Linked DNA regions of Canis lupus familiaris. The protein of the gene in region 1 interacts with the protein of each later gene in a biochemical or structural test. Links are inferred from orthologs where the notes say so. Each region holds a gene or a part of one and is shown in the gene's direction. Other genes may lie near its edges.

What was found.
Region 2: the proteins of RXRA (region 1) and TRIM24 form a complex in vitro, tested with the Homo sapiens proteins (3 studies listed by BioGRID). The link is inferred for Canis lupus familiaris from reciprocal best matches to the Homo sapiens genes RXRA and TRIM24.
Region 3: the proteins of RXRA (region 1) and NRIP1 form a complex in vitro, tested with the Homo sapiens proteins (2 studies listed by BioGRID). The link is inferred for Canis lupus familiaris from reciprocal best matches to the Homo sapiens genes RXRA and NRIP1.

What each region holds. Positions count from the first base shown.
Region 1 is NC_049230.1:50,607,477-50,611,122, forward strand, and holds part of RXRA (retinoic acid receptor RXR-alpha), read left to right. Parts: intron 1-70; coding exon 71-336; intron 337-3,646. UniProt on the Homo sapiens protein: Receptor for retinoic acid that acts as a transcription factor.
Region 2 is NC_049237.1:9,918,968-9,922,713, reverse strand, and holds the start of TRIM24 (transcription intermediary factor 1-alpha), read left to right. Parts: upstream 1-1,165; coding exon 1,166-1,535; intron 1,536-3,746. UniProt on the Homo sapiens protein: Transcriptional coactivator that interacts with numerous nuclear receptors and coactivators and modulates the transcription of target genes.
Region 3 is NC_049252.1:12,290,272-12,293,917, reverse strand, and holds part of NRIP1 (nuclear receptor-interacting protein 1), read left to right. Parts: intron 1-2,066; 5' UTR 2,067-2,409; coding exon 2,410-3,646. UniProt on the Homo sapiens protein: Modulates transcriptional activation by steroid receptors such as NR3C1, NR3C2 and ESR1. Also modulates transcriptional repression by nuclear hormone receptors.

The sequences.
Region 1 (3,646 bases):
TGAACCATTGCGATCCCTGCGGGAAGCAGGCTGGGCTCCTGACCGCCATCCTCTGGTTCTTGTCTTGCAGACTTCTCCACCCAGGTGAACTCCTCATCCCTCAACTCCCCCACGGGGCGTGGCTCCATGGCCGCCCCCTCGCTGCACCCCTCTCTGGGGCCTGGCATCGGCTCCTCGCTTGGCTCCCCGGGACAGCTGCACTCGCCCATCAGCACGCTGAGCTCCCCCATCAACGGCATGGGCCCACCCTTCTCGGTCATCAGCTCCCCCATGGGCCCCCACTCCATGTCGGTGCCTACCACGCCCACCCTGGGCTTCGGCACCGGCAGCCCCCAGGTAAGTGCAGAGGCAAGGCCCTTCCTGTGGGCCCTGCGGGTGGGGGGGATAGGTGCTGTCCTTTCCACCTTTTGTCTCTGGGAACCAGAACCTCGGAGAGGTGGCTTTAGCCTGAACTTGAGCCCAGGTCTGGCTGACTCCCCAGTGCTCGACTCTCAGTTATCGGCCAAGTTCCCTGCAGCTGGTCATCTACCCTAGTGGGACCCCTCCTGTGGGGGGCCCCCTGCTCCCGTGACCCCCTGCTCTGTAGAGCGGGGCTCAGTGTTTCTCAGGTTTAAACCTGCCTCCTGGAGCCTGTGCCCCTTCACCGCCTTTCCCTCTGCTCACACCCTCATCAGGAGGTCTCAGTGCCCTGGGGCCCAGATCCTAGGGCGGGTTATGTCCAGGCTCCATGCAGATGCACCCCTCCTTGGGCCAGGCTCTCGGCCCCATGGTGGCCTCGGCTCATCTGTTGGGCTTGGTGGTCTTTTCCGTAGTCATGTGTTTGGAACAATTTGGCTTTCAGGGTTGTCTCTGAATCAGGAAGCATCTGGTATCTGGCAGGGCCTGGCTTGGTCCAGTTCTTGTGATGGGATTCTGGAGGCCTGGTCCACCCTCTCCTATGCTTCTTGTCCAAACCCTTGCAGCATTGTCCTGAACTTTTCTGGAGATCCCTGGGAGATCCCTGCAGCTGCCCCCACCCCCCAGCTCCCTGTGGTTCCTGGTGGATTTCCTGCCTGAATCCCAGGGGGACCTTCCTCTCTGGGGTTGAGCTGTCCTTCCTGAAATCCGCAGGGCTCCTCTCCAGCTCTGAGTTCCTCCCCCAGAATGTGAAGGCCCCTTGGGTGCATGTCTCCACGGAGCCTCAGGACAGCCTGCTGGGAGAGACTTGAAATGCAGGCTTCCCTGCCCAGAGCGACACATCTAACCATGTCAGCCTCATCCTAGGGCCGTCCGAGTCCTCTGCTGCTGCACCACCTGCGGGGCAGCCCACTGTGCTCTGGTGCAGGAGGACTGGGATACCACTGAGCAGGGGCCAGTGTGCTGCCCGTCTGGCCGGGCCTCTAGAGCTGGCCTTGGGGGAGAACCTTGCTGGCTTTTCCAGAGTGACCTTGTCACCCCTTTGTGGTTGAGGGAGAGGGTGAAAGAGCTAAGGTCTCTGGCATCAGTGCAGAGCTCCCGAGCCCTGCTCATGTCACCTGGTCCCCAGAGTAGTAGGAGGCCTGAGGTGCTGGCAGAGGGGAGGCTGGGCTGTCTTCCTGGGCCTGGCTGGGTTGTTCTTAACACAGCCATCCCACCCCCATTCTCACCAGCTGTACAGCGCCATGCAGGGAGTGCAGAGGCAGGTGGAGACTGAGTGTGCCCCTGCCCTCTGGGGACTGTGACAGAAGCAAGTGTCTGCTGACCCTTGGCCCCACAGGCCCCTTGCTGGTCTCAGGCCTGCTGCCTGTTCGTAGACCTGAGGGCTCATGTATAGCAGTAGCCTGGGCAGGGCAGAGATACCCTTCCAGCCTTGGGGGCACTTGCCCTTTGGCACTGTTCTCTGTCTGGGGGCAGGGGCAGGCGGTACTGGGGAGTCAGGAGTTTTCAGGACTACATCCATCCTATTCTCTGTGTTTCTCTGCACACAGCCAGGTTCCTGGCAATTGGTGGGTGCTGGTTGAGCCCAAGTTGTGTGTGCAGAGGGCCCTGGGCCCCTTGAAACTGATGAGGGGGTCAGGACAAGAACTGGGGGTGCAAACCCAGTGTGTCCCAGATGGTCCTGACCTGCGCTCAGCCGCCCATCTGTCCATGTGTCCATCTGTCAGGTGGCCCCCAATGAGTTTTGCCCCAGTCTGAGGCCCCATGCTCAGCCTCTCCTCTGGCTGCCCCTCCCGGGTAGGTGTCTCCCCTGAACAACCCCCTGCCCCATAGTTCCTTCCTGGAGGGAGTGCAGCTTCTGGGCTTCAGCAGCTTGTCTTGGAAACCTAGGGTTCCCCATATTCACAAGAGTGTGGGTGGAGTTCAAAGGGGGGCATGCCCCACCCCCTGCCCCAAAACCACAACCGCGAAGTCATGGTTGCCGGAACAAGACTTCTGCTGTCTTGGGGGAGGCCTGGCACTCTGCCTCGTGCTGCCTGTTCAAGTCCACATGGCCAGGGAGGGCCGTTGACACCACACCTGTCCCACTTGACCTTGCCCGGGGGTGTTGGCTGGACAGAGCCAGATCCCTGGTGCTGGTACCCGCACTGCCCCGCATCTCTTCCTGGTCTGGGGGCTCCATCAGCACAGGGCCCGGGAGCATCCCCAGCTCGTCCCAGAGCCCACTCGCCCCACCTAGCCTGCTGTGGGCAGCACTGCGTCCAGGCCTCACCAGCCCAGCAAGGCTTCCCTCGTGAAAGGAGTGCACACCGCAGGGTTTGCCCCTGCCTGGATGGCAGTGTGAGGCCGGTGAGGCCGAGGACCTGCCCTCGTGTGCAGCTCTGTTTGTGGGTGATGGCCTCCCTCGTGGGTTGGAGGGCCTGCTGTGGGCTCAGGAGGAAGGGCCTCCTGAGGTGGTGGGTGCAGAAGAGAGGAGCCTCGAGAGACGGCAGAGACCCCGGTGCGCATTGATGAGGCAGGTGGTTATTTTCGTATGTCCTGTAGGCTCTGGCGGGAACTGAAATAAATGCCAAGGATCTGAAAGGGGAAATGGGAACAGGCCCCCACCCTGGCCATACCACGTTGTCGGGCTCCAGTGAGGGGCTGCTGGTGCCATGGGTCTCCCCAGAGGGGAGGTGGGGTACAGCAGGGGAGCAGTCCCCCTTAGGTGGGGGGCCGCAGAGTCCCCTGGGAAGGGGTGCGGGCAGGGCAGAATGAGGCCCCAGGAGTCATTCTGGGCTGTTTTGGGGGCTGTGAACCCAGCCTGAGGCTCCTCTGCTTAGAGCTGGGGAGGGGAAGAGTGACCCTGACCCTCACAGCCTTGCCTTGGTGGCCCAGGCCTGTGGTGAGTGGGGACCCCAGCTCAGCCTTTGTGTTCCCACAATGCAGGGTCCCTTGGGGCTCCCAGGGCCCCTGGCTGACTGCTGTGCCCATGGAAAGCCTGGCCCGGGAGGGCAGGGATGTGCCTGGCACGTGACCAGGAGCCACAGCACTGACTGCCCGTCCTGCCTGTGGCTCCCTCCCATGTGGAGCCCTGGCCAGCCCTCCTCACTGCTGTGGCCCTGCATCGGTTTACCTAGGGCAAGCACCCAAGGGCCTGCATGCAAATGGGCAGCGGGAGACAGGGCAGGTGGCCCGCTAGCTGCCCAGCCTGGGGTGGGCCAGCACGGAACGGGAGATGTCCAGTTTCCCTCCCTGGTGCTCCCATGTG
Region 2 (3,746 bases), on another chromosome or scaffold:
TAAGGCCTGACAATTCACTTGTTTTTCCAACTGTTGTCCTATTTATGCAATAAAGAACACTTTCTGACAATCTTAACCTATTAGTGTCTCGGAGACAGAACTATCTCTCCTCATTTAAAAAGCAAATCGCCGACTTAGAAATCGATTTCACCTTTTTTTTTCACTGGGGGTGGTGGTGGAATTCTTTAAACACTTCCAAGGCGCAAGAGAACATCCGTCCTTCCGCATCAGGTCCCATCACTCACGGGAGCGAGGCGCGAACTCAGGCGGCAAGCCCACGCTGCCCCCACGACGTCCCATCCACACGTTTCTCCACCTATAAAATTCCTCGCTTGCTCGCTCTTCACAGTCTCCATCCACTTGGTCATCCTTTGACCCTCCCGCCGTATTCACCCCACCTGCGGGGACCCGGATCCTCAGCAGGAAACCGAGACTTCTGCAAGCAAGTTACTTAATTAGCCGCGCTGCGCGCCCGGCGGCGGAGCTCCGCCCCCCGTGGGCGGGGCTAACGCAGGCGGACCCAATTAGTCCGTCCGTCATTAACAAACGATCCCTTGATCTTCCTAGAGGAGCGCCACGCACAGCAAGGCCCAATCAGAGGCCGCGGCTGGGGCGGGGGCGGGGCTGGGCAAGCGCCTTCCCACCTCCCAGCCTCCCGCCGCGGCCGGCGGAGCCTCGCGGGCTTGGGCAGGCCCCGCCCCCTGGCCAGGCGCGGCGGCGATTGGGCGGCGCGCTCCTCGCCGGGGCCTCAGTTGCCGGGAGCGGGAGGGCGGGGCCTGAGGCTGAGGTGGGCCGGCGCTGGCGGGGTAGGGCGGGGGGGCCCGGACAGAAAGGCGGGGAGGCGAGGGCGGGCTGGGCGCCTTCGACGAGCGCCGAGGCGGTTGGCGAAGCGGACGGGGCGCAGCCTTCCCGGTGCGAGGAACGGTTCCCGCTGACAGATCCCCTTCTTCCGGCCGCGCCACCCGGGAGGCGGATCCCCGGGGCCTGAGGAGGCTTCCTCGGCCCGGCCCGCCCTCCGGCCCTCCGTCTCCCGCGGGTCATCCTAACGGCCTGTGAGGAGGAGGAGGAGGCGGAGGAGGAGGCGGAGGAGGAGGTCGTCGGGGGCGGCGGCAGGCGGGGACCGTGCTCCCCCTTCGGCGGCGGCGGCGGCGGCGGGGGCAGGACAATGGAGGTGGCTGTGGAGAAGGCGGCGACGGCGGCGGCGGCTTCGGCGGCGTCGGCGGCGGCCGCCGGGGGGCCCCTGGCGGCGCCGAGCGGGGAGAACGAGGCCGAGAGTCGGCAGGGCCCCGACTCGGAGCGGGGAGGCGAGGCGGCCCGGCTCAACCTGTTGGACACTTGCGCCGTGTGCCACCAGAACATCCAGAGCCGGGCGCCCAAGCTGCTGCCCTGCCTGCACTCCTTCTGCCAGCGCTGCCTGCCCGCGCCCCAGCGCTACCTCATGCTGCCCGCGCCCATGCTGGGCTCGGCCGAGACCCCGCCGCCCGTCCCCGCCCCCGGCTCGCCGGTCAGCGGCTCCTCGCCGTTCGCCACCCAAGGTGAGAGGCGGCCGAGGTGGGCGCGCGGGGGGGAGGGGAGCCCGGGGCGCCCGGGGCGCCCGAGGAGCCTGAGGAGCGGCCCCCCTCCGGGGCAGGAGGCGGGCGCCCGGGTGCGGCGCGACCCGCTGTCACGTCGCCGCCGCCGGGGGTGCGCGGCGGGGGAGGGGCGAGGAGGAGGGTCCGCGTCGGCGGCGGCGGCCGCGCGCCCCGCGAGCCACTTCCCCGGGCGCCGAGGGCTTGGCGGCGGCGGCTCCGCGTTCTCCTCCGGGGCTGGAGGAGCGCGCCCCGCACTCTGGAAACCTGGGCTGGAGCGGGCTGCGCCGCGTCGCTCGGCTGCTTGGCCCGCTGCGTCCGGCTCACTGCTCTGCCCTCTGCCTCCCCCGGAGCTTTGTCCCGGTCGGTGCGGCCCTCATCACCCGGTTCGGACCCACGTCATTTGAGCCGGGGGTGGTGGGCGGTGGGTGAAGACGAAGCGACGGGGACTTTTCTTCGGGGAGACGCGTGGCAGATCCGGATGCTGTTTTCTGTCCTGCACGTATGTTTCGGCTTCTTTGACGCGTCTCCCCGATTTCTCTCCCTTCTGCCGGGACGGAGGGACCCAGAGAGACGGTATGTGGTTGTGTGTGTGTGTGTGTTTGCATTGGAAGGTTTTCTTTCGCAACGGTAAAGGGTAAAGAGAAATAGAAGGGAGTGATTTTTTTTGGGGGGGGGGGGGCGGGCGGCCCGCAGGGTTTTCTTGTATTTTGTAGACGACAGCTGGGTAATGAGGACGTTGCTGTTCTCTTTGGTGGTGCATTTGTTACTGGGTAATGAGACTTTCGACAGGTCGTTCCCATTGCGAGCGTTAACAGGTTTGAGACCTTTAAAAAGTGAGTCAGAGTAAGCGCAGTAAGCATCCTAGGAGAATGAGGATTGTAAATTGCGACTTTGCGGATTCGGGAGCACCTACCTCCTTTTTAAAAATAGAAAGTAATTAGAAAGGGAATGATTCTTTTTTTTTTTGATGATTCGTTTTGATGTATACTTTCAGAGGGTCTGGTTGATTAAGTTTGAGATAAAATGCTAATTAAGTAATTGAGCCTATGTTAAGGGGTATATGAAATCGGTGCTATAGACAGACAGTAGTGTTAGACTCTGCATTTGATTCTGTGTTTGGAACAGTATCTGGCCTAGGGAGCCAGTTTTCCAGCGGTCTCTCAGTTTCTGCAGGTCGTGCCAGGGAGGTACTGTGACTGCCCTTTGTTTCTGTTTTTGAAAGATGTTTGTATAAGGATCAGCCTTGGAAGATAGAGATTGTGTCTTCCACCAGAGCAAAGAGCAGGCGTGCGTGTGGTCCAGTGTGATGTCCACTGGAGTTAAAGACAGGCATGCTTAGTACCCACGATACAAGATTGGGGTGCTCTAAGCTTAGGTTTCCTCTGGTGTAACACAATCCATTGCCTGTGCAGGTGTCAGCTGGCCCTTTGACCTTGCCTGGTGGGAACTGGGGTTCCGGGAAGGAGAGCAAAAATGTCGATGCTTCGGTTTATGTTAGCTTTGGCCTACGTTATTATTGTGAGTAGCTAATAAACGTCCCTGGTCTCTCACCCATGAGTCTGCCTTCTACCATGGTAAGCTAGCTTGCAAATAGGCTGAAGTCTCTGATCTTTCACTCTTGTTTTCTCTCATGTGGCCCACCTGTTGGAAATTCAGTACAGGTGAAACAAATCCTAGTTCTTAATGTTTAGACACAGTCTAAGGTCTCTTTTATTTGCATTTTAATTGGTTAAATAGGCTAGTAGCCAATCAGGATCTGAATTTTGCGTAATTCTAGAATTAAGGTTTATCGTGTGCCTGGCCATGATATTCAGACCGGAATGAATGAGAACAGGGGGAATAAATGCTCTGAAACTAAACTCTGAGACAGGTTTTAAGTTCCAGATTTCTCAAAATGTTCAATGCGATTCTAGTCTAAATATATTTTATCTTGGTGTTTGTATTACCAGCAAGAGTTCAAGAAAGCATATAAATTGGAAGGTAATGGTCTCTAACAAATGATTCTTTAAATACACTGTTAAAAAAGAGGGTCATTTTCTATAAATTAAAAATACTACCTATCCTGAATCTTATTAACTTGAATGTTCTTCGTCCCTCTCCTTGTGAACTTACTCTAATACTAGCTGAGATAAAACTTTAGCCAGCACATTTCATAAATAAATAGGGTTCATTTCA
Region 3 (3,646 bases), on another chromosome or scaffold:
GTCTTCCTCCCTGTTTCATAATGGTGATGTTTATACAATTTAAAAAAAAATTAATGAAAAATAACCACATTGACTTAGAATTTTCTGAAAGCAATTATTCATCTTCCCTTCAAATCTATCCTAAATTTATTTCCTGCCCACTTTTCTACAGGATGATGTGATTACCTATTGTGTACACAGTTACATTTACACATATTATAGTAACTACATTTTTTTTTTAAGATTTTATTTATTTATTTGACAGAAAGCAAGAGAGCACAAGCAAGGGAGATGGAGAAGCACGCTCCCCGCTGAGCAGGGAGCCCAATGCAGGGCTCGATCCCAGGACGCTGGGATCCTGACCTGAGCCAAAGACAGGCACTTAACCTACTGAGCCACCCAAGTGTCCCAGAAACCACATTTTCTGAACTAAGAAATTGGTACAAGTACCTTGACACATTTTTCTAAATTAATGATTTTTATTTTAAAACCTTATAAAACTTTTTCAAATCATGTATAATATTTGAATTTATTTATACTTATAATAGCGAAGTCACACAAAAAGAAATAGCATGGGTGGGGAAAAGGAGTATTTTCTGTGAGGAACACCTTAGAAACAGAGTTACGGGTTCACCTGTAACCTGTCTTCTGCTTCTGTTAGGAATGGACCACACATTAAAAGTTCTACATACAGCAAATGAGTGAAGATTTAAAAATGGATACATTAAGCCTCTGATAGACTTGATGAGCATCTAGAGAATCACTCTCTTCTGTTTCCAATAGGTCATGATAAAAATGAAGCCTGTGATTATACTTCAGTATTTATGAATATGACTAAGACTGTCACACTTTGCATAGGCCTACAAGATACTTGTCAGTGCTTCCATTTCTTTAAAAACAGAAATCCCACGGATTACTTATGGAATATGTAATGTTTCAAGAACGATGTCAGAAGTGAACCTAATCTGTAGTATTCAACCCTGCATCTAGCTCATCACATGAGTCCATGTCATGTGCATCTCTCTCTTTTTTTTTTCTGCACTTTTACTTTTTCCTTCATAAGCTCCCAGTAATGTAAGAAAGCTAATTCTAGCTCCCATATAGAGCTATGTCACTATAAAAGAGACTTAGCATCCTTATTGTTACTATGTGGAAAGTGCTCATGAAAATTCAGAAACTCAAAAAAAAAAAAAAAGAAAGAAAGAAAGAAAGAAAAAATAAAGAAGAAAAGAAAGAAGAAAGAAAAAGAAAGAAAGAAAAGAAAGAGAATAAAGAAAGGAAGAGAAGAAAAAAGAAGAAATAAAGAAATAAAGAAGAAGCTAAAAAAGAAAGAAAGAAAGAAAAGAAAAAGAAAGAGGAATAAAAGGGAAGGTAAGGAGGCGAGAGAGAGAGCTCTCACTCCCTCCCTCCCTCTACCTCCTCACTACTCCCTACCTCCCTCCATCCCTCCCCTCCCCATCCCTCCATCCATCCCTCCAGACTAACTACCTCCAATCAGACCTCCCATCCTCTCACCCTACCCTCCCTCCTCCCTCCCTCTCCCTCCCTCCTCCATCCCCTCCCTCCCTCCCTCCTCTCCCTCACTCCAATCCCTCCATCCATCCTGCCTCCCCTTTCTTTCTTTCTTCCTTATCTCTCTCTCCCCTCCCTCCTCTCATCCACCATCCTCAATCCTCCCTCACTCCATCCCCTCCCTCCCTCCCTCCCTCCTCCCTCCCCCTCCCTCCCTCCCGCCCTCATCCCTCACCTCCCTTCTCCCTCCCTCCCATCTCCACGAAAATTCAGAAACTCGGTGTGCTTTGGAAGACAGTTATATAACACCAAAGTATTTTCTTTAATTGATTTGATCACTTTAACAATATGGGTTAATTTATAGGACTTCCGGTAGCGATTTCCAATTTAATAGGAATGGCAAACTATGTTACTAAAGAGGTGGCTATAATGCATATATACGTATGTACGTTATGTTTTACATACATATACGCACACACATATATAGACTTACAAATACTAGATTCTTTTGCTTCTTGGTATCGTAACATAATATTAGTTATGCCTCTTCTTAACTTTTTTATTTTTATTTTCAGAACACCGCTGTTGGCATTTAATTGGAAACAAAAGATGAAGAAGGAGAAGCAGTGTATTCACTAAGGATTCTATCCGCCCGCCGCCGCAGACCTGTGTATTAAGGAATTCTGCTGCTGCTTCTTGTGGAGTTGATCAGCTCTGTGGTCAAACTACTTTGGAATCTGCCTGCCTTTCCTCTTGTCACAGGGAACCCTGGTTGGAATGTAACCGTGCATCTCTGTCTGATGACTATGGAAGGTGATAAACTGACACTCACTTATTAAAATTACATCTCACTCACCCACAGAAAACCATTCTTTAACGTGAATAGAAACCAAGCCCTTGTGAACACTTCTATTGAACATGACTCATGGAGAAGAGCTTGGCTCTGATGTGCACCAGGATTCTATTGTTTTAACTTACCTAGAAGGATTACTAATGCATCAGGCAGCAGAGGGCTCAGGTACTGCCGTTGACAAAAAGTCTGCTGGGCATAATGAAGAAGATCAGAACTTTAACATTTCTGGTAATGCATTTCCCGCCTGTCAAAGTAATGGTCCAGTTCTCAATACACATTCATATCAGGGATCTGGCATGCTGCACCTCAAAAAAGCCAGGCTCTTGCAGTCTTCTGAGGACTGGAATGCCGCGAAGCGGAAGAGGCTGTCTGATTCCATCGTAAATTTAAACGTGAAGAAGGAAGCTTTGCTGGCTGGCATGGTTGACAATGTGCCTAAAGGCAAACAAGATAGCACATTACTGGCCTCTTTGCTTCAGTCATTCAGCTCCAGGCTGCAGACCGTTGCTCTGTCGCAACAAATTAGGCAGAGCCTCAAGGAGCAAGGATATGCACTCGGTCATGATTCTTTAAAAGTGGAGAAAGATTTAAGGTGCTATGGTGTTGCATCAAGTCACTTAAAAACTTTGTTGAAGAAAAGTAAAGCTAAAGATCAAAAGCCTGATACCAATCTTCCTGACGTAAGTAAAAACCTCATCAGAGACAGGTTCGTAGAGTCACCACATCATGTTGGACAAAGTGGAACAAAAGTCATGAGCGAACCGTTGTCATGTGCTGCCAGGTTACAGGCTGTTGCAAGCATGGTGGAAAAGAGGGCTAGTCCAGCCACTTCACCCAAACCTAGTGTTGCTTGTAGCCAGTTAGCGTTACTCCTTTCAAGTGAAGCCCATTTGCAGCAGTATTCTCGAGAACACGCTTTAAAAACGCAAAATGCGAATCAGGCAGCAAGTGAAAGACTTGCCGCCATGGCCAGATTACAAGAAAATGGCCAGAAGGAGGTTGGCAGTTTCCAGCTCTCAAAAGGAATGTCAAGCCATCTCAATGGTCAGGCGAGAACATCATCGAGCAAGCTAATGGCGAGCAAAAATACAGCGTTTCAGAACCCGATGGGTGTTGTTCCTTCTTCCCCCAAAAATGCAGGCTATAAGAACTCACTGGAAAGAAACCATCTAAAACAAGCTGCTAATAATAGTTTGCTTTTACATCTTCTGAAGAGCCAGACCATACCAAAGCCGATGAATGGACATAATCACAGTGAGAGAGGAAGCATCTTTGAGGATAGTAGTACCCCTACAACCATCG